4 linked regions of the Notamacropus eugenii genome follow. The protein of the gene in region 2 interacts with the protein of the main gene of each other region in a pairwise test. Links are inferred from orthologs where the notes say so. Each region holds a gene or a part of one and is shown on either strand. Other genes may lie near its edges.

The links.
Region 1: the proteins of TRIP6 (region 2) and PRKAA2 interact in binary tests that used the Homo sapiens proteins (3 or more experiments, as listed by UniProt). The link is inferred for Notamacropus eugenii from reciprocal best matches to the Homo sapiens genes TRIP6 and PRKAA2.
Region 3: the proteins of TRIP6 (region 2) and SIK3 interact in binary tests that used the Homo sapiens proteins (3 or more experiments, as listed by UniProt). The two-hybrid records come from large-scale screens. The link is inferred for Notamacropus eugenii from reciprocal best matches to the Homo sapiens genes TRIP6 and SIK3.
Region 4: the proteins of TRIP6 (region 2) and FRS3 interact in binary tests that used the Homo sapiens proteins (3 or more experiments, as listed by UniProt). The two-hybrid records come from large-scale screens. The link is inferred for Notamacropus eugenii from reciprocal best matches to the Homo sapiens genes TRIP6 and FRS3.

Annotation. Positions count from the first base shown.
Region 1 is NC_092873.1:516,705,554-516,712,862, forward strand, and holds the start of PRKAA2 (5'-AMP-activated protein kinase catalytic subunit alpha-2), read left to right. Parts: upstream 1-4,305; 5' UTR 4,306-4,402; coding exon 4,403-4,496; intron 4,497-7,309. UniProt on the Homo sapiens protein: Catalytic subunit of AMP-activated protein kinase (AMPK), an energy sensor protein kinase that plays a key role in regulating cellular energy metabolism.
Region 2 is NC_092873.1:79,910,878-79,918,288, forward strand, and holds the start of TRIP6 (thyroid receptor-interacting protein 6), read right to left. Parts: upstream 3,012-7,411; 5' UTR 2,874-3,011; coding exon 2,768-2,873; intron 2,421-2,767; coding exon 2,338-2,420; intron 2,247-2,337; coding exon 2,121-2,246; intron 1,905-2,120; coding exon 1,527-1,904; intron 1,014-1,526; coding exon 914-1,013; intron 783-913; coding exon 613-782; intron 349-612; coding exon 170-348; intron 1-169. UniProt on the Homo sapiens protein: Relays signals from the cell surface to the nucleus to weaken adherens junction and promote actin cytoskeleton reorganization and cell invasiveness. Involved in lysophosphatidic acid-induced cell adhesion and migration.
Region 3 is NC_092876.1:135,012,647-135,019,660, reverse strand, and holds the start of SIK3 (serine/threonine-protein kinase SIK3), read right to left. Parts: upstream 3,005-7,014; 5' UTR 2,990-3,004; coding exon 2,720-2,989; intron 1-2,719. UniProt on the Homo sapiens protein: Positive regulator of mTOR signaling that functions by triggering the degradation of DEPTOR, an mTOR inhibitor. Involved in the dynamic regulation of mTOR signaling in chondrocyte differentiation during skeletogenesis.
Region 4 is NC_092873.1:102,751,478-102,759,089, reverse strand, and holds the start of FRS3 (fibroblast growth factor receptor substrate 3), read left to right. Parts: upstream 1-4,608; 5' UTR 4,609-5,001; intron 5,002-5,007; exon of another isoform or gene 5,008-7,612. UniProt on the Homo sapiens protein: Adapter protein that links FGF and NGF receptors to downstream signaling pathways. Involved in the activation of MAP kinases. Down-regulates ERK2 signaling by interfering with the phosphorylation and nuclear translocation of ERK2.

The DNA of each region.
Region 1 (7,309 bases), about 440 Mb from region 2:
AGGATTTGTGGTAGTTGAGCTGTATCTTAAAGAGAAGGATTCTGGGAGGTAAAGGGAAGGAAAGAAGGCATCCCTTTCCAGGTTGGTGAATGGGATGAAGATGAAGAGTAGGAAGATGGATTGTCCTATCTGTGAGAGTGAGAAAGCAGGCCCAGTTGTCTGGATCCAAGAGTGCAGGAGGAAGAGTAATGTCCAGTGAATCTGGAAACATAAGTTGAGGCCCAGATTGTATAGGACTTTGAAAACTAAGTGGTGGGTTTTCTATTAGATCCTAGAGACAATGGGGTGGAATGAGTAGAGGGATCATATGATTAGATCTGCAATTAAGGAAAGTCACTTTGGCAGCACTAAGTAGGATAGACTAGAATAGGAGACACTTAGGGAGGGAGACCAATTAGGAGGTAGGTGCCATCATCCTGGTGATGAGAACTGAAGTGGAAGCTGGGTGCTTAGAGGTAGAAATAGCAAGATCTGGGAAATTATTGGCTATGTGAGGTAAGGGTAAGGGACAAGTTAAGGGTAATGTGGACCTGGAAGACTGGAAGAATGGTGGTACTTTGACAAAATTGGGGAAATTTGTAAGAGTGGAGGGTTTTGGAGGAAATATAATAACTTCAATTTGGGATACGTGGAGATTAAAATGTCTCCAGGACATACAATTTGAAATGTCCAATGGGAAATTGGTATAGGGGGACAGAGGCTCAGGGGAGAGACTTGGACTGGAAATGTAGTTCTTGGAGTCCTCTGAGTGGAGATGACAGTTAAATCAATGGAGCTGAAGGAGTGAAAAGTGAAAAAAGAGTGACAAGAATTTAAAATAGAACCTTTTGAAATACCCACAGTTAATGAATAAACTTGTAAAGGACTGAGAAGGGCTCTTCAGTCAGTGTCAGGAAAATCCAGAGGATGGAGCATCCAGGAGGAGAAGACAGTCAACAGTGTCACATTCAGCAGATAGGTCAAGAAGGATGAGAATTGGGAAAAAATACAAACAAAAACCAAAATTCCACTACAACAGAATTGGCACTTAAGAGATCTTGGGGAACTTTGGAGAGAGCAGTTTCATCTGAGTGATGAGGATGGATGCCAGCTGGTAAAGGGTGGAGAAGAGAGTGGGAAAGGAGCTTCTTCATTCAGGGAAGGTAACCAGCTTTTTCAAGGTATTTGACCAAGAAAGAAGACGAGATACAGGAAGATAATTCAGGGGATGGTAGTTTTCAGTGAAGAGTTGTGTGGTTTTTTTTTTTTAAGGATGAGGAAGACTATATGATATATTTGAAGGCAGTCCCGACAGGTAAAAGAAGTTGAAGGTTTGTGAGAGAAGGGGGTGATTAAGGATGTTGGAGAATGGGGCCCAGGGGTTTCACTGGGGACACATGTAGAGGGGTTGGCTTTGGCCAAAAAAAAAAAAAAAAGAGCCAAGACCTCTTTGTCAGAGACTAGGGCAAAGTGGGGGAGAGTGGGAAATAGATGACAGCCAAGGGATCTGAGATGACAATAATGGATAAGAGAGAGAGAGAGAGAGCTCACTTTGTGTAGACCTAATTTTCTCAGTAAAGAAACAGGCTTCCTGAGAAAGGGAAGTGTGGGAGGTTGGGAGAAGGGAAGGGCATAAGCATGTGTCTTGGGCCTTCCATGTGCCAGGCACTGAGCTAAAGGCTTTGTGGAGATATTATTTCATTGAATTTGAGGTTGAAGTTTCTATCTCTACAATCTCTCTTCATCTCTCTATTGACCTCATCCCCTCTGACCTTGGCTACTGATTATAACATAATGAGTTTCCCTGCCTCAAGTCTCTGCATTCTCCTTTGAATGTTTGAATGTTTGAATGTAAGCACAGATCTGACTTCGATACTCCTGTGCTCAAGAAGCTCCAGTGCTCTCTCTCTATTGCCTTAGAATTCAAATAAGCCTTCCTTCATGTGACTAATTCTCTTCACAATCTGACTTTAGTCTACTTTTTCAAAGTCTTTTTATATTTAACCATGGTCTCTGGTGCAGTAAAATTGGGCCTTCTGCTCTGCTTTACTCATAACACTCTGTTTCCCATCTCCAAGGCTTTGCCCTGGCTGTGCTCCATGCTTGGAATGTCCTCTATCCTCACTTCTATTGGAATCTCTAGCTGTCTTAAAGCTTGGTCTACAGAAGTCTCTTCTGATTCTCTAAGTTGTCAGTACCTTCCCTTACCCAGGATTACAGCGTATTTATTTAGTATATGTTTTCTTCAAACAGAAGAACCTTAAGGGCAGAGACTGGGATTCTTTTTTTGAGAGGGGAGGGGTCTTTGCATTTCCAGCACCTGGCACATCAGAGGAATTTAATAACTGTTGGGTAATTGATTGGTCACCCAATGATCTTCTGGAATGTGATTGTTCTCTGATGGACTAGCCTCATGAAGTTGTCAGCTGCCTCATCAGAGATGGTACTCAGCAAGCTATTGGGTGTTATAGAAGAGGCTTGTACAGTTGGGCTGGATATGTGGAGTATTAGAAAGATGGCCCTGGCCTTTGGAGTCAAAGAGTCTCCAAAGAGACAGTTTGAGTCTTGTTCCGTCTCTTAACAGCAGTGTGACCTTGGGCAAATAATTCTCCCTCTTCAGGCTTTTAACAGAAAGGGGTCAGATTAGACCAGGGGTGGGGAACCTGCAGCCTCTAGGCCACATATGGCCTTCTCGGTCCTCAAGTGCAGACTTTTGATGGAGTCCAAATTTTACAGAACATTCCTTTATTACGGAGATTTGTTCTGCGGAATTTGGGTTCAGTCAAATGGCCAACCTTGAGGATCTAGAAGGTCACATGTGGCCCAGAGGCCAAAGGTTCTCCATCCCTGGACTAGACCTTCAGTGGTCAAGACTCTTTAATATGAACTTTCTCTCACCTTTCTGAATCCTTTATCCTTTAAAGTTATGCCTATAATGATCCCAGTCATAATAGAGGTGTTTAATCATTTCAGCTGTCATAATTAGTTAATAATTAATATAAAGCAATTAAATGATATGCTTTAGATTCTTTGTTGTGGTAGAGCTTCAAGAAAGGGAGTCAACACAAAATGATCATTTGACTATTTGGTAAACACAGTACAGGCAGTACAGGAATATTAACTAACAAATTGTCATGACCTTTCAAAAAAGACCCTATTGTCTATGAGCAAGGGGAAGGACCAGTCCACTCTTCCCTTTCTGGAGTCCTGGAGGAGTGAGCCTTAGCCAAAGAAAAGCTCATTTATCACAACAGAAAAATGTGAACTACCTGTTTTCTCTCCATAGCAATGAAGGGAGAGTGATTCTGAAATGATCTTTCTGGGTACAATAAGCAACAATGACCATCTATCAGCTTATGAGATGGGCTCTGCTTCCACCACACACAAGAATAAACTTAAAGGTTTGGAAAACACTTAGACACCGCATCTATTTGCTGCTTTTCAACAAGCTCCTGTTACATCCTTTCTTATGAATAAATAGAGGTGATCCCAAAGCTCTAATAGCCTTTATAGCCATGCTAAGGCTTTGGGGACCCTTTATTTAGTTCCTTCCCTGAAAGGCCAGTTTAGAGACCTGAGTCCCATTTCCAGAAAGGGAATTTCTATTAATTAATGTCATCTGCTCAGTGACATTAAGGCCCCTCCACACAAACTTTATTAGTATCTGATTTAGCCTCAACAATTTCCACAAAATACAGAGTCATCTAGGATCCCAAGGAGCTCGGTTTTAGCACTCACTCTCTCTACCTGCCCGCCCCTTCCCTCACATGACCTTGGTATTGAAGGGGCAGCGAGGACCCCACTTCTGTAACTCACTTTTTTCTCACAATTCTATGCAAAGACAGCATCCTTCGGTAAATGCCTGGATTTCCAGGAGCTCCTGGGAGGATTCTGCCCAAATTAGCACCAGACAGGACTTGGGGCAGGAGGTGTCAGAACTGGGAATGTAAACCCCCCCCAGATCCCTGAAGGCACAGGCCAGGGGTCCCCGGCGAGGGCTGCCTCCGTTCCAGGATCCTAACAGACCGCGCTGCGGAGCGAGGTGCGGGGAAGCGGCGGACTCGCTTGGTTATTTATTGGATACTTTGTATCCCTCCGGGTCTTCCTCCCTCCTCGCTCCCCCCGCCCGCTCCCCGCCTCGCGCGGCCTCCCTCCCTCCTCCTGACAGTTCGCGCTCCCCCTCCCCTCCCGGCGCAGGTCTCCGGCTCCCTCGCCCCTCCCCTCGGGGTTCCTCGCCCCTCTCCCCCCCGCCCCCTCCCCGCTCCCGCGGCACTGTGGGTAGACAGCAGCCCGGCGGCGGCGGCCACTCGGGGCAGCTCCGCGGGGCGGCTGCGGCTTCGGCTTCGGAGGCGGCGGCTGGGGCCGGGCCGGGGCTCGGCCGTGCGGAGGAGGGGCCGGGCTGGGCCGGGCTGGCGGGCGGACCATGGCGGAGAAGCCGAAGCACGACGGGCGCGTGAAGATCGGCCACTACGTGCTGGGCGACACGCTGGGGGTCGGCACCTTCGGCAAAGTCAAGAGTTGAGTGGGGGGCGCGCCTGGGCGGGGGGGGCACAGGGGCGTCCTCCCCCCCGGGCCGGGTGCGGGGTTGGGGGTCACCTGTGCGCCCCTCCCTGTGTACACCTGTCCGGGGGAGGGGGCGGTGGGGGCCATCCTGCCCCGGAGCCAAGACTGGGGGGGGGTCACCTGTGCGTCCCACTCAGTGTACACTGTCGGGGGAGGGGGCTGTGGGGTCGGCCCTCCCCCAGGGCCGGGTGCAGGGCTGGAGGGGGGTCACCTGTGCGCCCCACGCAGTGTACACCTGTCTAGGGAGGAGGCGGTGGGGGCGATCCTCTCCCAGGGCAGAGGCTGGGGGCGTCACCTGTGCGCCCCTCCCTGTGTACGCCTGACTGGGGAAGAGGCGGTGGGGGCGATCCTGCCCCGGAGCCAAGACTGGGCGGGGGAGGGGGGTCACCTGTGCGCCCCAGGCAGTGTACACCTGTCGGGGGAGGGGGCTGTGGGGTCGGCCCTCCCCCAGGGCCGGGTGCAGGGCTGGAGGGGGGTCACCTGTGCGCCCCACGCAGTGTACACCTGTCTAGGGAGGAGGCGGTGGGGGCGATCCTCTCCCAGGGCAGAGGCTGGGGGCGTCACCTGTGCGCCCCTCCCTGTGTACGCCTGACTGGGGAAGAGGCGGTGGGGGCGATCCTGCCCCGGAGCCAAGACTGGGCGGGGGAGGGGGGTCACCTGTGCGCCCCAGGCAGTGTACACCTGTCGGGGGAGGGGGCTGTGGGGTCGGCCCTCCCCCAGGGCCGGGTGCAGGGCTGGAGGGGGGTCACCTGTGCGCCCCACGCAGTGTACACCTGTCTAGGGAGGAGGCGGTGGGGGCGATCCTCTCCCAGGGCAGAGGCTGCGCGCCCTTTCGTAGCCCAGCTGTCTAGGGGGAGGGGGAGCGGGAGCGGGAGCGGGGCGCTGCGGGGGCGTGGTCGGGGCTGGGTCACTCGGGTCCTCCCCGCCCCTCCCACACCTGTCTCGGAGGTTTTGGCTCGGGCCCCAGCCCTGCCTCTGGCTACCTGCGTGACCTTGAGAGGGGCCTGGCTGCTCTGGGGCTTCTCGGGGCACTCCCCCTCTTCCTAGGGTGGGGCTCCCCTGTGTTAAGTGCTTAGGCACCATGGTCTTTGGTCCCAGGTTCACCTCCTAACTCTGCTGCGTGAACGTCCTCTATTTTTCACTCTGTGAAAGGAAGAGGTTGTACCCGTTGGTGTCGGGTCTCTCCCACCTGGAGCCAGGATCCTGGGCAGCAAGTGAAGCAAAGCTTCTGGTCCTGGATGACCTTAGGCCGGCCCTTGTCCCTCCCTGGGCTGCTGGGAGATCTGGATGCCAATCCAGCCGCAGCTCTGGCTCCTGGCTGGGAACACCGGACAGGGCTCTGCCCGCCCCATCCTTCTGCCTTCGTTTTCTCCCTCCTCCGTGTGGGATGAGAAATGCTTGTCCCTCCCAGGCCGGGCACTGGCATACTGTGGGGAGAGAGGGCTATGGCAGAGTGCATAGCTGGTGGCATCGCTACGTGGTAGCTCGCTGGGATCACAGAGGCACCTTGACCCAGTAGATGCCGGAGTTACTACTGCTAGTCTTAAGAAGGAGCTTTGCGTTCAAATCCCAACTCTGGCACTTCTTAGCTGGATTAAAATGAACAAGTCAATCTCTTTTAGCCTTAGTTTCCTCTTCTGTAAAATGGAGTTAACAAAACTTAGAGTAACTAGTGCACCTAGTGGTCTTCAGGCTCCAACAAGATAGTGTATGGAAAACACTTTTTTATAAAATGCAAAAAGCCTTATTATTCTTATTTAGAGTATGATAGGACCATTATTATAATATAAATCTAGTACTGCTTTAAATTTCCCCCCTACTGTCTTTCCTTCTAGATGCATTTATTAAGCATCTGCTGTGTGCAAGTCTTGAACACAAAGGTGTAAGACAGTTCCTTGTCCTCATAAAGTTTACATTCTGGTGGGAAGGGAAATACAATCTATGTAAAAAAGTAAATAAAAAATGTACAAAATGAATCCATAGTAATTTTGTGTAGGGGTGAGTATAGTTTGGTGAGTGAGAATGAGGTTGGAGGTGACACTGACGGCACTAATTCCTAAGAAGATAACATTATTCCAAAGACAGGGACAGCCTCCCTGTGTAAGGTCCCAAAGACCTGGCCTGCAAGGTTCTGTTCTCCTCCAGGCAGCAGTAGCATCCTCCCATTTCCATAAACTCTGTCTGTGGCCTGCTGAAGGAGTTAGTATCCTGGCCACTCAGGGACTGAGACAGCTAGCTGTCTTCAGGCTGTGGTACAGAAGAGGAGTGTGATTTATTCTGCATGAGTCAGGAGAAAAGCAACAGGGGCAGGTACAAGCAAGGAAACATCAGCCCCACAAAGAAAACCTTGCTTCCACTGTTCCAGTAAGTTGACTCAAAATGGAGTGAGCTGTTTTCAGTGTAATGAATTCTAATTCTAAAAGTGTATCGTGTGAATGTTTTCTTTTGGGGTGGGGCGGGGAGCTGGCTGTTAACATTTACCAGCACACCACAGGCCTCAATCATCCTTCATTTGTGTGAAACCAGAGGTCTTTAGTGGAGTCATATGGGGATAGATGAGGGTTGAAATAAAGGCCTTCTGAGGTTACTTTGAGCATGCAAAGTTCTATGATAATCAGGATGGCAAGGGGGATTCTGAAGCTGCCTCTAAGTGGTTTGAAGGCAGTTTGCTGGAAAGGTCTAGCCAGCTTTTGAGAGCCAGCATGGTTTTAGTGGGAAATGTAACACCTGGGAGTCAGAAGACAGAAGACCCGTGTTGCAGCCTGAA
Region 2 (7,411 bases):
TTTGTAAAAATGAAAGGTTGGACCAGGTGGCTTCTCAAGTTTCTTCTGACACTATATGATTTCTATGATCCCTATGAATGGGGTAAAGATTTGGGGGAATGGAGATAGGGGAATGGAGTTGTTAAGACCACAGAGAAGGAAAGGCTGAGTGAGCAGGGATCATCAGGACCTGTGGAAGTCTTCAATACAGTGGATCTGGCTGGTGGCATCCACTGTGAAAGGAATGCCATCAAGACCTTGGTGACACACAACACAAGTAAAGCAGCCAGGGTGATAGGCCTTCCCCATGGCCCGTAGAATCCGGTCCAAGATAGGCTGGGAGCACATGGAACACTTCTCCAAAGTAGCCTGTTGAAGAAGTCCCACAGTCAACTTTCCAGTCAAACTCCCTGCCAGAACCCAAATGTCTGGATCCCCAGCCTCCCGACATCTTGACACTCAACTGAGTCTCAAACCCTATAGGGAATAATCTGAAGACATGTACCTTACCTGGCATAGTCCACATTCAGACCCAGCTGCCCTTATGGACTAAATTATCTACTTCCCTAGCTTGGCAATTCTTTCCGATCCCAAATCTTCCTTCACTCTGAACCTTGGCTTCCTGTCACTTACCACATAGCAGCCTTCACAATACGCCTTTCTCTCCACTGCATAGAAGTGCTGGCCCCGGAGCTGAGCCCGGCATGTGGAGCAGACGAAGCAGCCAACATGGAAGACACGATCGAGGGCAATAACCCCAGCACCATCCCCTACCACGTCCTCCCCACAGCCCCCACATCGGCCTAAGGAGCAAGGCAGGGAGTGGGGAGGGGGAGAAGGGAAGAAAGAAGAGAGATTCAATTTTAGTCTAGAGAGTACCAGAACATCCCTGCACCCCCCTCAAAAAAATGCAGATGTTTAGAACCTGGCTCACCAAAGTATTCCCCACTGGGTGGATGGTTCATGTCATGTACCAGCTTCTTGGTTAGTCTCTCCAGCTCTTCCTCAGGGGGAGCCCTGCTGGGGGCAGCCTGCTAGGGGGCATGGGAAAAGGGGACCAGAATGAGACTCAATCCCCTCTGTCCCCTGTCCTGCCCCCAAATCTCCAAGAAGGAGGAGCTATGTATTGCAGAGAACCACATAATAATAAAGAACAGTTTACAATGAATAGCACTTTAGAATTTCCTAAGGTAGATAAGGCGTATGATTATCTTCATTGTAAAAGAGGAGGAAGTTGGAGTGAGGGGATTTGCTTAATCACTCAGTAAGTGTTAAAGAGCTGGAGCTCACATTTGGGTCCTTTAGCCCCAAATCCAGGGTTCCTCCCATGAGAACCAACTGCACGGTCTCTCTCATCTTCAAACACAATAGCCAAAGAAAATGGAAGAACCCAGGCCACCTTGGTCCCTTGAGTGGCCTCTTTCCTCTCTCCTAGCCACCCAACTTTCCTTTAAGGGGTTTTGCCACCCCTACTGTAGAATCACTCCCACCCATTTCCCATCAATGGCCAGTCTTCCTGGCTCACCTTGGGTATACATCCTCCTCACCTTAGGTATATATCCTCCTGTTCTTCTTCCTCCTCTTGGGCCAGAGGCTCCAACATTCTCCTCTTTGGCCCTGAGCTCTCTGTGCCCCTCATAGGAACCCCCCCAAGACTCAGCCCAACTGGTTGAAGGAGGGTAAGGAGCTGGGGGTGGGCTAGAGGCCTGAGGGACACCCCGCCAGGACTGACCATACCCCCTCACAGGCTGAGCCACCTTCACCTGGACCGGGAAGGCAGGGCCAACTGGAGTGCTGGCTGTGGTATAGGAGGCAGGGGTAGGGCCCCCATAAGATGGGGCTGGAACCCTTGGTGGAGTGGTCACTCCTCCACCTGGTTTCAGGAAACCTGAACGGTAGGGAGGGGGCCGAAGGGGCTCGCATGCCTAAAAAGAAATAAAGATACCATAGGATGAGTGGGATCTACCTTGACAACTTGGACTTCTTTCATGCTCATATATTATGACACAACCCAAAAGCCCTGGAATGGAAAAGGTTAGGGGATTTGACATCTTGTAGAAGTTATAGGGGAAAAGATCTTTCTGTTTTCCAAGGGTATGTTATTGCAGAGGCAAAAGAGGAGGATTCTGGGAGGGAGTCACCTGTCTGTCTGGACGACATGGGGCATGGCCCCTACTGCTGTCCAGGTCAGCCAACATGTTGGTCAGTGAATCTATCTCTGCATCCAGACTTCCTAGGTGTACGGCTCCCCTGTCTGGCCGAAGCCCCTGTGGTCAAGAAGAAATGAGGAAGTTTCTGGACCCTTTTCCTGGGAACCCAAACATACAGCCCCCACCTCAAAATCCTTCGACTTCCCACCTGTATGCTTTGGGAGGCTCCGGGGCATCTCCCCAAGGCTGGTGCCAGTTCTTCTGGTCGGCCTGAGCCCTGATAGCCTTGCTCTGTTGGGAAATGGTAGGAACTGCCTAGACACGAAGTGGGCTTAGGGCGCTGGTTAGAGGAGGAAGACCAGGAAAGGGGAAGAGAAAAGCAGGGTTCCAGGAACAAGGGAGGGAGGGCGTGGGGCCGATTCACTGCTCCCCGAGGCTTCCTGTCTGCACAGCCCAGGTGCTAAGAGAAAGGAACTGGGAAGCAGCGAGACCTGCTGGGGCGGGTGGGGGTGGGGCACGAGGGTCTGCAGCAGGGGCGTAGGAAAAGCAAGGGAAGCAGCGGGCCCGGAGGAAGCGAGGACCAGGGGGGCATCGGGCACCCTCCACTCCCTGGGTCCTGGGCTGGACGTGCCCGTTACCTGCTCCGTGGGCCGAGGGGCCGGGAGTGCCCCGCACGAGAGCTCGTGCCTGGGGGAGCCTGCTCTGCTCCGGCTGCTTTGGGGGGAGCCAGGTGGGGCCGGACATGGCAGGCAAGGCGGCTCTCGCCACGAGTGGAGGAGCGCGTGGGAACTCCGCGGTGGCGTTCCTCCGGCGCCCACGGAGGTGGCCCCCTTCTCTGGTCTCCACCCCGGCTCTGGCTCCGGCTCCGAGACAGAAGAAACTTTTTCTGCCTTCTCTTTTTTCTTCAACATCAATTTGGGGGAGAGCCACGCCCCCAGTGACATCACCGCATTCCTAAGTGATGAGGATCACGTGGCGGCCCGAGACGCCTCTGCCCCTCCCCCCGAGCCCCCAGCCCCTCACCGACTTCCCCACGGTCTCCCTCTGACCAGGCCCCCTCCTCTAGCTCCACTTTCTGGGGCTTCCCCGGGAAGCTGGGGATGGAGGCTGGGGGCAGGGGGCTGAGGTCCTGCGGGGCTGGGGGCTGGGGGCTGAGCCTGGGCTCAGAGTTGAAGAAAGAAGACCAAGAAAGACCTGGGATGGCTGGGAAGGCTCCATAATAACCCCACACCTTTTTCTTTGGATTCACCAACTCACCCACGCGGGTGGCCCCCGCCCCTGGCTCTCTACCTTGCAGCTCACACAGCCTGCCACGCTTCGCCCTTGCATTCCCTCCCTCCACTGGCCAAATGCTAAATAGTACTGAATAAATAGTAACTGTTTCTCTTTTACCTAGGAACCCCGAGGGTCTTCTCCCAGTTTGTTTTTGGTTTTTTTTTTTATTAAAGGGACCATCCCTTGAGCAACTACTTAAAGAAGCGCATTCATTGAATGGGTGTGTCTCACCCAAAGTGAGAATGTGGTAAGGCCTTAGCCTGAAAGGGCCAGGGTCTCCCAGTGCATCCTGGGCCATCTCCAGCTGTCCTGATGAATGTCAGGCCACTGGACCCAGATGGCTCAGGAGGAGAAAGTGAGGCTGGTGACCTTGCACAGCCCTGCCTCCCTCAAATCAAAGTCAATTGCAAGGCGTGTCATCACCTTGATGTCAAGGTCCTCTTCCAGAAGGACAAACACAACTGGTCAAGTAAAAAAAGGAGTACCAAGGCTACCCCAGCCCAAGCTGCTTTCTACTTCCTTTTGAAATGGACATTATTCCCCCCGGCTCCAGAGCCCCTGGGTTGAGAAATGTCTGTTGAGTTTCTAGGCAGGGTTGGGCCTAGTAGCCACTTACTGTTAGTGGCTACACTTTCTGTTGTACCCCTTTGCCTAGCAGCTGCCTGCGCCCCCATCTCTGTTGTACCCCTTTGCCTAGCAGCTGCCTGGGCCCCCCTCTCTGTTGTACCCCTTTGCCTAGCAGCTTCCTGGGCCCCCATCTCTGTTGTACCCCTTTGCCTAGCAGCTGCCTGGGCCCCCCTCTCTGTTGCATCCACTTGCCTAGCAGTACCTAGGAACCCCTGTCAAAACTGTTCTGTGAAAAATGTGAGCTCTTGGAACCACAAAGCTGTACCCAGAGGTGCTAAGATGCTTAAAAGGCACACACACCTTTGTTCAGGGCTGCCCCCTTAGAGGACAGCTGCCGGCTAATAAAGACGCTCCCAGATTCTCAATTAACTCTTGCCTGTGCTTGTCTTGGTCTGTCCATTTCACCTTTCTTTAAAAAAAAATACATTATATGCACACACGCACATATATATATATGCACATGCATACTTACACGAACTGGTAATCTGCCCTTCCCATTCTTGCCCTACTGAGCAAAAAAATAAGTAAATAAAACTGTCTTCATACGTGTACAAAATAAATTCCCACGTTGGCCATTCTTGAAAAGTGTTTGTTTCTGCTTTTTAAAGTCCATCAGTTCATCCCGTCTTTGGGTTTTTCCTAAACAATGCTACTATGTTTATTTTCTTCTCTGTGTTGTGTACGCAAGCTATTTCACTGTTTGATTTCTCCTGTTTTAAACCATGACCAAATTATTTTAATGATTATTGCTTTGTACTACAGTTTGAGATTCAGCAGGATGTAAAATTTTGGGGTCTTCTCTTTATAACGGTGGCATTGTATAAGTTGTTTTTCCAGTAGTGCATCTGTTCATAGATGTCATCTCAGTTTTCCACTGAAATTATCAAATTCTCATTTCTTATGGCACAATAATATTCTGTTACAGTCAAATACCATAATTTTCCCCCCCATAGGAGGAAAATCTCTTAGTTTCCAATTTTTGGCTACTAGATCCAGTCTAAATATTCTTATATAATTAGGTCCCTTTCCACTCTCTCTCTTGCTGAGCTATTTAAGATATAGGCCTAGTGGTGGTACAGCTGAATTGTGGGGTATGCACTCCTTTTATAACTTTCTGGGCATCATTCTGATGGGGTATAGGCTCTGGGAGCCCCCTTGAACTCTCCTTGAATCTTCCCACTTGATCTGGCATTCACCTGTCTATAAACCTTTCATTGAAGGTAGCCAAAGGGGTCTCAAACCCATTGGTGAGTTAGGGGGGTGTCTATCCCAAACATGTGAAGACTTCCCCTGGTGGATTGGGCGGATGAGAACAATTTGTTCCAACAGCCACGAAGGCAGTTCAAGCAGGCAATGTGGAGCACTTAGAGCTTGGTTAGACACCAAAGACACCAAGGTCATCCATTGTATCCTGAACCATTGCTAGTCATCTTGATACTGTCCTGCCACTGGACTATGATGACTCTGGAGGAGAGAGTGAGTCTGACAACTCTGTGCAACTCTGCCTCACTTAAATCCAATTTACACATGAATCAAAAGATATCACCCTTACTATTTTACTATTATACCTCAAATTCCTGTGGCGACAGGCAAGTGATTAAGCAGGAGGTGCTGCTGGGAGCTATAGTCACAACCCTGCACACAGGCGGCCCAGGCTGTAGGGTCGTTTCTCACTGGAAGCAGCAGTGGGACTTGGCAGCCTCCTGGTGTCTGAGCAGTCTTTTAAGGATCTCACTGCTCACCTCCTGGTGTGACGAAGGAGGGTAGAAAAGGTGCCCTAAAAATTGTCTGCTTATCCAACCTTGGCCTGATCACCACGGCAGGCAGGGAATCCTACTCTGCGGTGAAAACATAAAAAAATGTACAAAATGTACAAAAACATCTGCAAAGATGATTCCACTCACCACTGGCACATGGAACATGTGCACACTTAGAGACAACACAAAATACAGTAGACCTTGAGTGTACCAAAGTATGGATCAATTCTCTGCTGCCTGTGCTAATTTTGGCCTAATAATTAACACCTGTTGGGATTGGAAGCTCAATTCCGTGTGGACAGTCTCGGGCGGGTAAAGGTGGGAGCTTCTAAATCTTAGAGCTCTCACGAGACCCTCCCAGGAAACGGCAGGGAATAGAGGTGAACCGAGCTAGCTCGGGTATTTCCGCCTCTCCCCATGAGAAACGTGATGGGAGAGAGATCTCCCCGCCCTCGAGATGGTCCCGGATCTGGGCACACTATTGTTATCTAACAGCATGGTATTTAGATGCAAACTATGCTGCTGGAGAGTTAAGTAGGATTGAGGAAGCCTGAAAGCTCTCTTAGCACGTGAGGAGCCAAGAGGACAGTAGGCTCCGCTTCTCTTCTCTTCTCTCTCCCCTCCCCCTCTCTCCCCGCTTGTACTTCTACTTCCAATCCCTTAAGATCTTAGCCTCCTTAGGAAATCTCCCCCTCTTCCTCCTAAGGAAGACCCCCCTGCACTTGTAACTAGACCCTGAAATAAAGCTCAACCCTTGTTCGACTCTGGAACGTCCTTTCTCTCATATGAGCATCCGGTTTTGGCCAACTGAAGACCTCGGAGGTGAGGTAAGAAGACTCGGGTAGCCCACACAGGCCTCTAGGCCTGGCAAACACCAAGAAAACAGGTACTTCATCAGCCGCCACCACACCATCTATATGTGGTACTATTGGTTACAACAAATGGAGAAGTCTTGAGTACTGTGGATAAGTTCACTTACCTTGGTGGTGTACTTCCCAGGGATGTACACATTGATATTGAGGTTGACAGACTCATTGCCAGAGCTAGCTCCGTGTTTGAGAGGCTCCAAAGAAAAGTTTGGGAGAGAAGAGGTATTAGCCTGACTACCAAACTGAAGGTCTACAGAGGTATGCTGACCTCATTGTTATATGCTTGTGAAACATGGACAGCCTACCAGCGCCATGCCAGGAAACTGAATCGCTTTCATTTGAACTGACTTAGGAAGATTCTGAGGATCACCTGGCAGGATAAGGTACCAAACACTGAAGTCCTTGCCGGAGCTGAAGTGCCAAGTATTCAAACTATGTTTCGGAGAATTCAACTCGGACAGGCTGGTCATGTTGTTCAAATGCAAAATGTATGCTTGCCAAAAAGACTATTTTACGGAGAACTCGCATGGGGCAGGAGATCATGTAGTGGTCAGAAGAAGCGGTACAAAGACACTCTCAAGGTCTCTCTCAAGCATTTTGGATTTGACTGTGCAACATGGGAGACACTGGCACAGGACCGCTCAGCATGGCGTGCCCACATCAGAAAGGGTGCTGTGCTCTTAGAACAAAGCAGAATTGAAACAGCACAAAAGAAAAGTAGGATGTGCAAATTTGGAGTATCCACCTCAAATGT
Region 3 (7,014 bases), on a different chromosome or scaffold from region 2:
TATATCTTCAGAGTTTTTTAAGCAGCAAAGGATAAGTCACTTGTAACAGTAACTGGGAAATTAAAAGCTACTATATAGAAACACAGGGCTTATTGGTGTGGTTCTATCATGTATGCAAATCACTATCTAAGTCATTTAGGTCTCATTCAAGACTTCGAATATTTCCATACTTAGGAATTGCTAAAATCTACACCACAAACCAACAGAGATAAAAAGCAACACAAACAATGACACCCATTTATAAACAATCTGATATTTAAAATGTTTCAGAGTCCTAAAGATACCAAGGACTCACAGAGGAACAATGAAAAAGAAATATTGGAAAATTAGAAAACAAGGAGATCAGTGATAATTGAGCTCCAGCTTTGCTGACTACCAAGGATAAAAAGAATCAAATACCTGAAATAATATTTAAGACAACATTTGACCCTGTTGTCACTGATTTAATCAATATTCAGAGATATCCAAAAGTTAGAAGACACAAAATTCTTTAAATCACAAATTAGTGTATGGTGTTTATCCCACAAGGGTCAACAGAGAACAATATGCTCATTTAAGAGTGAAAAAAGAAAATACTAAAACAAAATAACGACATGAACTATTAAAATTGTTTGTAAACATTGGGTTAGTTGGTGGTAAAAGAGACTGGTAAGTTTAACTGGTCAGTTTCACTGACATGGGTTACAATTCAAGTAAACCCTCAGCTTAGGAAAACATTTTTAGGTTTTCATTTTATTCTAACCTCAAGGGCCTATGGCCCAAAGATGAAAACTAAGAAAAAGTTTGAAGGGAGTCCCCTAGAGGAAGTGAAACTGACCAATCAATTCTCTCCCAGCTATACACCCTGGAGAGGAAGGGCTCTTGTATTCTTTGACAGGAAAAAGAAAAAAAAAGGAACTTCAAGGTTGCAAGGGAGTTAGAGAAAAAAGGCCCAGATAAATCACTAATTCCTGAAAATAAATGTTCTCACTACAATAATAAGTAGAGAGAAAAGATAAGTGATAAGAGCCTAAGGGGTTGGAGGAAAAACTAGGCTTTGGCAGAAGAGTCAGCAGCCATGGGGGTTCTGATCAAGTCACAAGTCAAACTTGAGAAAAATAACAAACAGAATGAATGTGTGCATTCAAAAGACCACAAGAAATCAGAAAATTTGGACCGTAGGTTCTATCAGCTGCGTGATCTTAGGCAAATCATTTTGGTCTCTTTGAGTCTCAGTTTCCTCACTTCTAATATTAAGGAGTTGGCCTAGATTCAGGATCGTTAACCTTTTTGTGTGTGTGTCATGGACCCCTTGTCAGTCCGGACCTTCTCACAAAGCCTTTAAATTCGTAAAATCAAATACACTGTCTCACAAGGGAAACCAATTATACTGAAATACGATTTTAAATATATTAAAAGTTTTAACTTCACAGATCTCCTAAAATCTATCCACAGACCCCTTGGGAATTCATGGACCCAAGGATAAGAACTCCTGGCCTATATTATCGAAAAGGTTATTTCACATGCTGAAATTATCTGCAGCAGAAAATTCAAGTGAGAATGACCCAGGAAAATGAGGACCTGGGAGACTGAGAGCCTCAGAGAAAAACAACAGGCTGTTTCCTGGCAACAGAAAAGATGGAGTTGGTAAGCTCTATCAAATTCAAAAAAATCCACCTGATTTCAGATTCAAACAATGCCCAAGAGAGGAGGCTGCAGGAAGGTGCTGCTCCTCCTTTCTCCAAGAGAGAAAAGACGAGGGGATAAACAACCAACAACAACCTAGGGAGGTGTTACCTGCAACACCAATACCTCTGTTCCTACAAATATCCAGATGCCTTGGTCTTGGTGAAAGAATACTTTCCCCTACCAATACGCACCTCAACCCCAAAGCCTATCCTCTCCAAGATTTCCTTTCCCATTCGCCCTGTAGAATCTTTCCTCTTCAAATTCCACCGCTATCTTCCCAGGCACAATCTCCTAGGGAAATCAAGAACCTCCAGAGTGCCATTTCCACGTTCCCTATCCCTGTGCTCTTCAGGAAGTGGTCACCCCCTTTCCAGACTGGTACAGCTAGGTCCGTCTCTAAGCAGTGCTTGACATCCACAAGCTGCTGACACTTGGGGTCTCCCCAAACCTGTGATCCCCGGAATCCAACCAACCATTCCCATGCCATCCCAGATTCAGCGTCGTCTGTTCCCCAATCTCCCAGCGCACGGACGATCCCCCGATCCCCACCACGACGAGGTCCAGGTTGTCCAGGGTCTCCGTCTCCCCCGCAACCGCTTTTCAGGCTGGAAGGACCCCAGCACGGCCCCGGGGCCCCCCGGGCGCGATCTCCCCATTTCCTACTTGCCCATGGTCCTCATCTCCTCCCGGCCCCGGCCGCCCGGGGGTCCTCCAGCCCCTCGCCCGCAGGGCTGCCCAGGCTCCTCTGGGCTCCCTTGCGGACGCGTCCGCCGGCCCCCCGGGCTTCCCCGCTTCCTGGTCCCCAGTGACTTCCCCCTAGCTTCCCTGCAGCCGCTGTCTCTCTCCGTGCCTCGCCCCCTCCCCCCCCGGCCGGGGGCGCCCCTGCTGCCCCCCGAGCCGGCGCCTGCCCTTGGCACCTCCGGCCGCCCGCCGCCCCTGCCCCCGCCGGGTCCTCGCCGCTCCCCGCTCGCTCCGCCAACATTCGCTGGCCGGCAGCCCCCGCCGGCCCGGCCCGGCAGCACGCCCCGCACGGCCCCGCGCCGCTCGCTACCTTGGCCTTGGTGACGAGGTGCGTGGCCCGCTTGACCACGGCGAAGTTGCCCTTGCCGATGGTGCGGTCGATCTCGTAGTAGCCGATGCGAGCGGGCATCGGCCCGCGGGGGGCCGGGGCTGGGGGGCGCGGGGTGCCGGCCGAGGGCACCGGGGCGGGCGCGGCCGGGGGTCCGGCAGCGGGCGGGGGCAGCAGGCGGGCAGCCGGACCGACTCCCCCGGCCCCGGCCCCCGCAGCCCCGCCAGCTCCGCTTGCCGCCGCCGCCGCCATCTTGTTGTGCAGAGAAACCTCCGGGACCGCGGGGAGCCGGGAGGGGGGCAAGGGGGCGGGAAAGGAGGGGGAAGCGGGGAAGACGTCACTGGGGAGGCGGGGCGCCCGCGCCGCCCGGCGCCCGGCGCCATGGCAACCGCGCGTCACGTGCCGATTCGCGTCACTGCCCGGATCCATGGCAACCGTGACGTCACCGCCGCGCTCTGGCTCCCCGCGTGGGCCCAGGTTTGCCGGGCTCCGGCTCCCAAGCGCCCTCCTCTGGGGCCGACGCTGCGGCTGCCCGGAGCGTGCTAGCCAAGTTCGAGTTACCAGTGCGGCCTGGCCACGTGACCAGTCTCTCCCAAAAGACCTCCCTCAGCCCCTCCCAGACCCCACCGCTCTTGTTGAAATTGTACCCGAGTTTGACCCTAGTTACCACCCTCTCCTCCACGTGTGCCCTAGATTTCATCAGGGCCCTGCTGAGGCTTCCCCGAGTGATGCACCGTCCGCGGAGGTTACACACCTTGGCCACTCGACTAGCCGTGTGACCGTGGGCAACTTATTTCAGCTCTCAGAGCCTCAGTTTCCTCATCGGTAAAATACGGGAGCTGGAAGAGGTGACCTCTAAGTTCCCTTCCTGTTCTAAAAATTCTGTTTCTCCTCCAGTGACTCACGACCCACTCACTCCTTAACCCCCTTAGCAATCTCACTACCGCCCCCACCACTCTGCTGAAACTGCTTCTTTGAGGTCACCCATGACCTAATTGCCAAATCCAATTACCTTTCCTCCGAGTGAACCGCATGATGGAATGGAAAGGGCTCTGTCACTTTAACAGCTTTGTGACCTTGAGAAAGTAACTGCCTCATCTCATCCTGTTTTTTCATCGGTAAAAGGAGGAATATCTTCAAGGTTCCTTCCATGTTCTACACTAGCTCATTCATCTCTGCATGACTTGATTCTTGAAACTGAGACCTTAACTTGGAAAGACCAAGGTCCCCCTTAACATCCTGGGCCATCTCCAGTTGTCCTGATCTTTGTGGGGCCACTTGACCCAGATGACTCTGGAGGAAAAAGTGAGGCTGGTGACTGTGCACAGCCTGCCTCACTTAAATCCAATTCATCTGCATGTCATGGCATCACCTCCCCGATGTCGTGGTCTTCTTCCAGAATGAAGAAAAAACAATAAAAGCAATTACAAACAATTTGACACCATTTGACCATTATTCCCTGAAATTCCCCTCCCCCCTTAACTTCAAGAGCTGGCTCCTTCTCCTTCTCCTAACCCCTAAATGAGTATATTCTCCCAAGACCCTCCCTACTTCTCCTTTTCCATGATTTTATTTGTTTAAAGGTTTCAATTACACCTTCTGTGGTATATGACTCCTCCTTTGTCTATAGTTTAACCTCTCTCCTCAACTATATAACCTCACATTTTCTACAAAACACCTCTACTTTGTGGTCCCACTGCCATTTCAGGTTCAAAATGTCCAAAACCAAAGGCATCATCTTCCTTAGGAAACCACATCCTTTAATGGCATGATCAAACTCTTCAGCAGGAGACTCTAAACCATTCTTCACTGGGCCTCACAACTAATCACTTGCCAAGTTCTGTCAATTTCACTTCTGCTGTGTATCTCATGTCTGTTGCCCTTTTCCAGTACTCCTGTCATCACCCAAGCTAGACCTTCATTATCTCTCACCTGGACTGTCACAACTGGATCCTAACTGGTCTCCCTACAAACGATGTCTCCTTCCTTTGAGTCATCCTGTGCCCAGATGCCAGAGTGATACTTTCTAAAGTACAGTTCTGATCATGTAACGCTCTTCAGACCTGACCATATTCCTTCAAGAGTTTGCTAGCTCATCTTCTTCAGTTCAAATCTGGCCTCAGACACTTATTTAGCTGTGTGACCCTGGGCAAATCATTTAACCCTGTTTACCTCAGGTTCCTCATCTATAAAATGAGCTGGAGAAGAAAATGACAAACCACTCCAGTATCTTTGCCGAGAAAACCCCAAGATGGGGTTGAAAACAACTCAATAACAACAAAGCAAGGTAATTACTACACAAGGAAATGAAATTGTGAGATACTGGGGGTTAACAAAACCTGTATGAAGAAGAACCAGGATTTCCCTGTTTCCTTTTCCTTGGCCACGAGAGAGACTTCCCATTGACCATCCAGGAACAGAGAGCCACTGCAACTAGACATGTTCCTGAGCAGTGGCTGGTTTTGGTCATTAGAATCCTAGGTTGTCATGTGAGAAACAGGAAACAGTAAGCTGCTGAGGTCAAGTTAAGCCTCTGAGACCAGTCTCCTGGGAGGTGCTGGCAGTCTTAGCAGCTGCTGCTCCTTCTTCTGCGCCTCCTTTTCCTCCTCCTCCTTCTTCTTCCTCCTATCATGCCTATTTATTGAATAAACAGAGGACAAGACTATCCTCCAGGACCTCCTTCTACACTCACTCACCAATCATGGCCTGAATTCACTATTTTTTTTTCCTAAACATTAGCTTCTAAACTCTCTGACATCTAGCTTCTGACTTCATCATGCAAATGAAACCACCTTCTCTCTCCAAAGTTACCAAAGTCTCTTAACTGCCAAAGAAAGAGGTCTCAACTTTCTCGATTGCTTTGTAACATTCCACATTAACTACCTTTTTTTTCCCCTATATATTCTCTCATCTCCAGGTTTTTATGAGACTTCTCAGTTCTTCTACTACCTATCTGACCCTTTGTCAGTCTCCTTTGCTGGATTTGCATCTAAGTCAAGCCCATTATGTGTGTCCCCCAAGTTTCTTTCTTGGACCCTCCTTTTTTTCTCTCTATGGTCTCTTACTTGGTGATCACATTAATTTCATGGATTCATTTATCTCTATGCAGAGGAGTCTCAGATCTGCATATCCAGTTCTAGTCTCTCTCCTAACCCTACATTACCAAATACTTTATTGGTATTTCAAGCTAGGTATCCATAGAAATCTCAGATTCAACATGTCCAAAACAAAACTCATTCTCTTTCTCACAAAACCCAGCCTTCTTATAAACTTCCTTATTACTAGCAAGGGCATCATCATCCTTCCAGTTCCTCAGGCTCATAATCTTGGAATCATCCTTGACTCCTCACTCTTGCTCTGCATTTCCAATCAGGTGCCAAATTATGTAATATCCTTCTCAAAATCTCTCTCATGTGTCTTCTCTCCACTAATACAGCATCCCCCTTGGTACAGGTTGTTGTCACTTCTCATCTAGACTACTGCAATGACCTTCTAATTGGATTCTATCTCAAGTCTCTCCCTACTCCAGTCCATCCTGCACATAGCTGCTGAAATGATTTTCCTAAAGCATAGGTCTGACTATATAGATACCTTCTTCCCCACTCAATCACCCCCAATGGCTTCGTGGTGTGGTACCTTTAGAATCAAATGTAAAGAAGTTTGTTTAGCATTATGAAGCCATTCACAACCCAGTCCCTTCCTTTATTTCTTACTCATTACTCCCCTCCATGAACTGGACAGTTCACCCAAATTAACCAACTTGCTGTGGCTCACACAAAAACTCCATCTCCCATCTATATGACTTTGGACTATTTGTATCCCATCCCTGGAATTCTCTCCTTCTCCTAACCTCTGCCCTTTAGAATTCCTAGCTTCTTTTAAGATTCAGATCAGGTTCCACTTCTGCAAGTGACCTTTCCTGGTTCTCCCTCACCCCTAGTTGCTAATGCCTTCCCTCTAAGGCTGCCTTCCATCTATTCTATTTATACATACCAAATTATGAATCTGTGGAGCGCAAAACCTTGCATTTACACTCCTAACCCACAAAGATGCTAAGGTGGCACAGTGGATAGAGTGCTGGGCCTGAAGTCAGGAAAATTCATCTTCCTGAGTTCAAATCTGGCCTCAGACACTTATTAGCCATGTGACTTTTATCCTGTTTGCCTCAGTTTCCTCATCTGTAAAATTAGCTGGAAAGAGAAATGGCAAACCACTCCATTATCTTTGCCAAGAAAACCCCACATGTATATGGTCATGAAGAGTCAGAAACGATTGAA
Region 4 (7,612 bases), about 23 Mb from region 2:
TTGGGGTGAGGGGGAGGGGAGAGTTGGTGAAAATTTTGGAACTCAAAATCTTGTGGAAATGAATGTTGACTAAAATAAATAAATTAATATTTAAAAAACATAAATGCTTGAGCAACTAGGTGAAGGCATAGCACATAGATCTCTGGGCCTAAAGTCAGGGATTCATACTGAGTTCAAATCTGTCCTCAGACACTTACTAGCAGTCTGACACTGGGCAAGTCACTTAGCCCTCTTTGGTTCAGTTTCCTCATCTGTAAAATAGTACACCACTTCAGCATCTTTGTCAAGAAAACCTAAAAAGGAGTCACAAAAAGTTGGACATGACTGAAACAAATGAACAACAATAACAATAGATGCTTACTGACTAGCTGCTATTACAAAATTAGTTTTGATCTCATGGACCCTTTGAGAAGGTCTTAGGGACCTCCTGGGGCTCCCCATCATCTTTTGAGAACTGCTACCCTAGACATTCATTTTTCTAAAACCATTCAATCTCTTTTGAACCACTCCCTCCAAGAATTCTCCTTTCGACTTTGTGAATCCAAGATTCATCACTGACTGAAGTAATAAAAGACTGTCTTTTTCTTAATCCCTGATTTAGGTATCATAACCCTAATCACTTAACCACTTTCTAGATGACTCCTTATTAGGTTGATTAGAAGACAGGGACCTGGGAGTAGATTAGAATGAACAGAAAGGATTTCTGTGCCAGACATTGTTTTGAATTGGCAGGAAATCTGTGATAAGTGTTTCTTATCCAGATTAGTTCAAAGGCAGAATAAAACTGCTTTCTTAATAGTTCTAAGGACAAACCCCCAACAAGCCCCCCGCCCTCCCCCGCCACAATGTACATGTAGCACAAGGACCTTCTATGTCAACAACTACTTTTCAGAGGCAAAGGAAAAAATTGGTAGAATAGTGGCAGACAGAAGCTCCTAAGAAGTCCTGACCTACTTAAATGACCTATTGGGAAGATGGGTGTTTAGGAAGATACTAGATCAGGAGGAAAGAGCAGATCATAGAATCTTAGTACTAGAAAGAAAGTCATAGGTGGCCATTTTATTTTTGCTTGCCTCCTTATATATAAATTGAAGGGGTTAAGTCAGATGGGTTCCTAGGTATTTTCCAGCTCTAATTCTCCCAAGGTAGCCCATTCCATTTTGGGATAGCTTTCAATATTAGGAAATTTTTCTTTACATCAAGCTTAAATGTACCTCTTTGTAACTCTGAGTTCTGTTCTCTGGGGTAAAGCAGAAAAAAAATCTAATTTCTCTTTCATGTGATAGACCTTCAAACACTTGAAGACAGTTATCTTGATCTCTCTAGGTTTTCTTTCTTTAAACTTCCTTCTCCGGGGCAGCTAGGTGGTGCAGTGGGTAGAGCACCAGTGCAGGAGTCAAGAGGACCTGAGTTCAAATCTCACCTCAGACACTTGACACTCACTAGCTGTGTGACCTTGAGCAAGTCACTTAACTCCAATTGCCTCATCCTGGGTCATCTCCAGTCATCCTGATGAATATCTGGTCACTGAATTCAGATGGCTCTGGAGGAGAAGTGAGGCTGGTGACCTGCACAGCCCTCCCTCACTCAAAACAAAGTCAAGTGCAAGTCGTGTCATTATTTCTCTGATGGCATGGTGTTCTCTAGCAACGAAGGACGGACACACACAAAAGGGTGGGTGGGTGGGATTTAGTTTGTTTCCACATTCCTAAATCCATCCTTCTTTCAAATTCCCCTTTTTTTCATCCAGAACCCTAGAATCTCAGTTTCTCAGGCTCTTATTCTTCTCCCTATGCGTGTCTCTCTGCTGAAGTAAAAATTGTTTTCTTCAAAGTTACAAATGACTTCTTAATTGACACATTTGACTTCCTTTTTTCATCTTTATCTCTTGAGTTCTCTGCAACATTTGATACCGCTGATCAGCTGCTTCTTGTAGATAACTTACTTTCTCATTCTACATCAGTTGTAAAACCCTGTAATTTCTACCTTCACTGCACCTCTTCTATAGTCCCCTTCTCTTTGTTCACATAGCTGTCACCTCAACCTTGGGCGCTCACTGCCCTGGGTCTCTCCCCACTCCAATCTATCCTCTCCTTAGCTGCCAATATTTTCCTAAAATGGAATTCTGTCCCAACTCAGTTTACTCTAGTACCTGTTTATTAATGTTCATTATTCATTTTTGAAAAGGACTAATGACCACATGGGGCGATGACTTGACTTGGATTTAAGTAAGGCAGAATTGCACAATTCTCCATCTCACTCTCTCTTCCAGAGTAATCAAAGTCCAGTGCCAAGGCAGAAGTCAGGACAACTGGCAATGGCCTGGGATGCAGTGGATGACCTTGGTGTCTTCAATGTCTGACCAAGCTCTAAGCACCCCACAGTGCCTGCTTCAGCTGCTTTCATGTCTGTTATAAAAACTGTTCTCATCCTCACAGCCTACCTTGGGAAGTCTTCATATACTTGAGGTAGATATCCTTCTAATTCACCAGTGGCTTCGAGGCCTGTCAGTTACTTTCAACCTGGTTTAGCCTGTCTACTCAGACCATTTTACTGGGGGGTGTGATCACTGGGCATGGCACAGCTTCCTGGAGCCACAGGGGAGAGTTAGTGAGACAGATGAATACCAAAGATGCATGAATAGCCTGAAAAAGGCTTAGTAGGTCCTCACACTAAAGGTGCTAGTCTTCCCTGAACACCCCATGCATCCCTATTATTATATATTATTACATACTCTCTATTGCCTCCAGTATTGAATATAAAGTCCTACCTTGGGCATTTAAAGCCCTTCAGAACCTGTCCATTCCAATCTTCTCATGTTTTATCCCTCTCCAGAATCCAGCAATGCTGGTGATATGGATACAAAGGTGGCCTAAGGGTTAATATTAAGGGTTGAGTTTTCAGTACTTTGAGAGGCCGCTCCTAAGTTTGAGGGCATCCTAAAGTCTCTTCCCCTTGTGTGTGTGGGAAAGCACGAACCCCTTTACTCAAATTGACGACTCAGAGGCATCTCAAGGTAAAAACAGAAAAATCTCCTTTATTCCGTTCTTGTGAGAAACCAGGAGGTACCTTCATCAGTAAAGCAGGAGTAGGAAGGAGCCTTACAGAAGCAGAATGGCAAATTTATATAGATGCTGACGTGAAAATTCCCCTCCCACCACTGACTATTATTCTCATTGGCTGAGAAGTAAGGTCTTACATTCTAGGCACGAAATCTAACCAATCCCTTTTGAAACCCAGTTCAAATTTCCCACTCCTGGACGTTACAAAGCCTGTGAAAATACACATCATTATATGCAAATTAGGCATTGATAATATATGCAAATGATGCATTGACAACTCATACAAATTGGGCATTGAGAACTTATGCAAATCAGGTGGACCTGTGTGAGGACTGCAGACTGCCTGCGCATATGCAAATTAGGTATTGAGGAGTTAGTGAGTCATATCCAATCATTGATCCTAAAGCAACACATAGCCTTATATGGAAATCACCTGACTCTGGAGGAAGGGAAACCTGGGCCCAAGGTCTCTTCCACTCCAGAGAGAAGACTCCATATTCCTGAGAAGTCTTCACTAAATCTGTTCCCATTCACCCTTATCTTGAAATACCATAAAACTTCCCACTTATCCTGGACTATAAAATTCCTTGTCTTCCCCCATCCTGGATCATAAAATTTCTCCTGTCTCCCTTATCTTGTGTCATCCATCTTCCTCATCCTGTCCCTAAATCTCTAACCCGCATTAGAAACCCTAAAAATTACATCACCATCCTACAGGCTATATAACTTCTTCTCTATATAAGTCTGGTTCTTTTCCTGTATCACTGCCTTTGTTTAGCTCTTTGTTAATCTCAGACTCTGCTGCTTTTGCGTCAATAAAGCTCCCAATGGCTACAGAGAAGGTCTAAGTGAACCCTTTCAAATCTGAACCAGCTGTCCCAACTCTGACCTCAACACTGGCATACTTTAACTTTCTTCTCATCCTACACTCCATCCCTATAGCTAATCATTGATTTCCCACACGCCTGGGATGCTTCCCTTTGCCTCCTGGCTTCCTTTAAGACTCATATCAAATGCCAGCAGGGGGCCTTTCCCGGGTATTTCCTATGCCCCTCCCCCCAACCCTCAGTGCCTCCCCATCTTTGTGACCCTAGGCAAGTCACTTCCCCTTTGCCTCATTTTTCTTCTTTGTAAAATGGGAATAATAATGGCACTGCTCTGTTCCGGGGTTGTTGTGAATATGGTGTGAGGTCCTCTCCTGCCCTGACAGCCCTTGCTCTGCTGTGATTATAAAGTCATATGTGTAAAGCATTTCACCAGCCTTAAGACATTATACGGATAGTTATTATGCCTTTGTTAATGAATGCTGATTGGCTCAGCCTCGAGCGCCCTCTGGCGGCCCCTTGCGTCTTCGCTCCTTGCAGCAGCAGCCACGTCCTCTAGAGGGAGACCTTCCAGACTACGCTCTGCTCTCTGCGCCCTGGGCCTGCTGCTCGCGTCTCGTTGGTACGGTCAGGGCGACCTCTGACCCCGGAGGCTGCGGCAGCGGCGGCGGCGGCGGCGGCGGCGGCGGCTGCAGCTGCGAAGGGAGGGGAGGGGAGAGGCGGAGCAGGGCGGGGCGGGGAGGCCTCCGCTCTGGGGCCGGCGCTGGAACCGGAGCCGACCCGACCCGACCCAGGAGCCGGGAGTGGGGCCCCTGGCTCCGCCTGGACGGCGGGGCGATGTGAGTCCGGGGCGCGCCGGGCCCGGGCCGCCCCCTCCTCCTCTTCCTCTCCGCCCTCGGGGAGCTGCCCTCGGCCTTGAGTTGTGGAGGAGCCGGGCCTGGGCTCCGAGACCGCGGAGGGGGGAGGGACCCGTCCCCGCCCCCCGCCCGTCCTTGCAGGCATCCCTGAGGGCAGCCCCGAGGGCTGGGGCGGCACACCCCCGCCCCCCTCCTCCACGGAGGACCCCCACCCCTCCCCCTCCCCGGGATCTCCCAGCCCGGCTTGGCCTGAGCAGGGTGAGCGCAAGGACCGGCGTCCAGCGGGCCGGCCTTCTCCATTCTTCAGGTCTCGGAGCTGAATCGCTTCCCTGCCAGGGAAGGGGCCGGGAGGCTTGGAGACTGGAGGGGCCTCGGAGCCAGCCTGAGGATGGAGCAGAGCAAGGGTTGTCAGGGCGGGAGGGGCCTTAAATCACAGAATGTTAGAACAGACCTAGGTGAATGGCAGAGCTGGGAGGGACCTGAGAACCTAGAATGTCAGAACAGACCTAGAATGGCAGAGCTGGGAGGGACCTGAGAACCTAGAATGTCAGAACAGACCTAGAATGGCAGAGCTGGGAGGGACCTGAGAACCTAGAATGTCAGAACAGACCTAGAATGGCAGAGCTGGGAGGGACCTGAGAACCTAGAATGTTAGAACAGACCTAGAATGGCAGAGCTGGGAGGGACCTGAGAACCTAGAATGTTAGAACGGACCAAGATTGGCAGAGCTGGAAGGGACCTGAGAACATAGACTGTTAGAACGGACCAAGAATGGTAGAGCTGGAAGGGAACTGAGAACCTAGACTGTTAGAACGGACCAAGAATGGCAGAGCTGGGAGGGACCTGAGAACCTAGAATGTTAGAACGGACCTAGAATGGCAGAGCTGGGAGGGACCTGAGAACCTAGAATGTCAGAACAGACCTAGAATGGCAGAGCTGGGAGGGACCTGAGAACCTAGAATGTTAGAACGGACCTAGAATAGCAGAGCTGGAAGGGACCTGAGAACCTAGACTGTTAGAATGGACCAAGAATGGCAGAGCTGGAAGGGACCTGAGAACCTAGACTGTTAGAATGGACCAAGAATGGCAGAGCTGGAAGGGACCTGAGAACCTAGACTGTTAGAACGGACCAAGATTGGCAGAGCTGGAAGGGACCTGAGAACATAGACTGTTAGAACGGACCAAGAATGGTAGAGCTGGAAGGGAACTGAGAACCTAGACTGTTAGAACGGACCAAGAATGGCAGAGCTGGAAAGGAACTGAGAACCTAGAATGTTAGAACAAATATAGAATGGCAGAGCTGGAAGAGACCTCAAAACATAGAATGTTAGACCATAAGGCAATATAATGCTAGGACTGGAATGTACCTTAAAACAGTAATGTCAAACTCAAACAGAAAGGGGGCCACTGAACCATTGATAAGGATCCCTATGGGCTACCTACTAAATCAAATTTTAAAATGTAATGATATCTGTGGATTTTTTTAAAAATAATTTTATTTATTTTGCTAAATGTTTCCTAATTACATTTTACTTGGTTGTGGCCACGGACATAATTGACACCTTTAGCCAAAGAACATTGGAGCACAGAACTGTTAGGATTGTCAGCAGAACACAGAATGTTAGAACACAGAACTTGTAATGTTGGAGATGGAAAGATGGAGCTAAAAGGTACCTTAGAACATGGAATGCCAGAAAACAACATAAAATTATAGGGCTAAAAGGAACTTTAGAACTTAAAGTGTTAGAATATGAAACGTAGAATGTTAAAGTTGGAAGGCCTTCAACTCATCTCAACAAAGGCAGAAACTGAGGCCTAGAGAAAAAAAGTAACTTGCCTAAAGTCTATACAGCTAGTAAGGGCAAGAACTCAAACCCCAGGCTCCTGTTTCCCTGGCCTGTGCTCTTTCTATTATCATATTATCACTCAAAAGGACCTTTGATCATCTTGCCTGGCAAGTTTCAGTAGGTAACAGTCCTGATCTCTCTCTCTCTCTGCAGGGCAAAAGGGTTCATGGAGGTGTCAGGTAGGTTGCCCAGAAATTGTGGGAGACAGTTTGGCATAGGCAAGGTCTGTTTCAGAGCAGAAATAGTCTAAAAGTATATTTGTTACTGTTATGAATTGGATTGATTTAGAAAACAAAGTATTTCCTTATGATTTATATTGTGTAATGTAATGGAAAGAGCACTTGATTTGGAGTAGATCTGAAGTCAAATCCCAGCTCCATTACCGTCATTGTGTGACCTAGAAAAAATTATTTGCTCATGTGAAACAATATTACCAATCTCAAATTTTCCCATTTGGAACAGTGTTACAAATTATATCTAACTTGAATTAAATTATCTTTAGTGTACTTTATAGCTCTGTTTATGAGAAACTGATAAAACAAGAGGGTGCAATTTCAGCAGACTGACGGTTTGGGGGTGATTTTCTCTCCCTCCTATTCAGATAACTTCTTCCTGGAATCAGGAAGACCCAAGTTCAAATCCAGTCTCACAAACTAGCTATGTTACCTTGGACAAGTAACTTTGCCTGTTTGCCTCAGTTTCCTCAATTGTAAAGTAGGAATAGTAATAGGACCTACTTCTCAGGGTTGTTTTGAAGACCAAATGAGATAATGTTTTTAGAAAGCACAGTGCCTGGCACATAATACTTTATATATAAATACTTAATCTCCCCCCCACCCCCTTATAGATGTCTAGGGCTTGCATGTTCTGAGATTCAGATACTATAGGTCCTGTGGCCAGAGGACCCAGGCACTATAAGATCTTCAATAAGGGAGCACCTTAATAGGGCTCTAGTAAATGGAAAGAAAATTTCTCTCCAGAAGAAGCAAATAATAATTTGTGCCTTACCTGTCTTGTAAAAG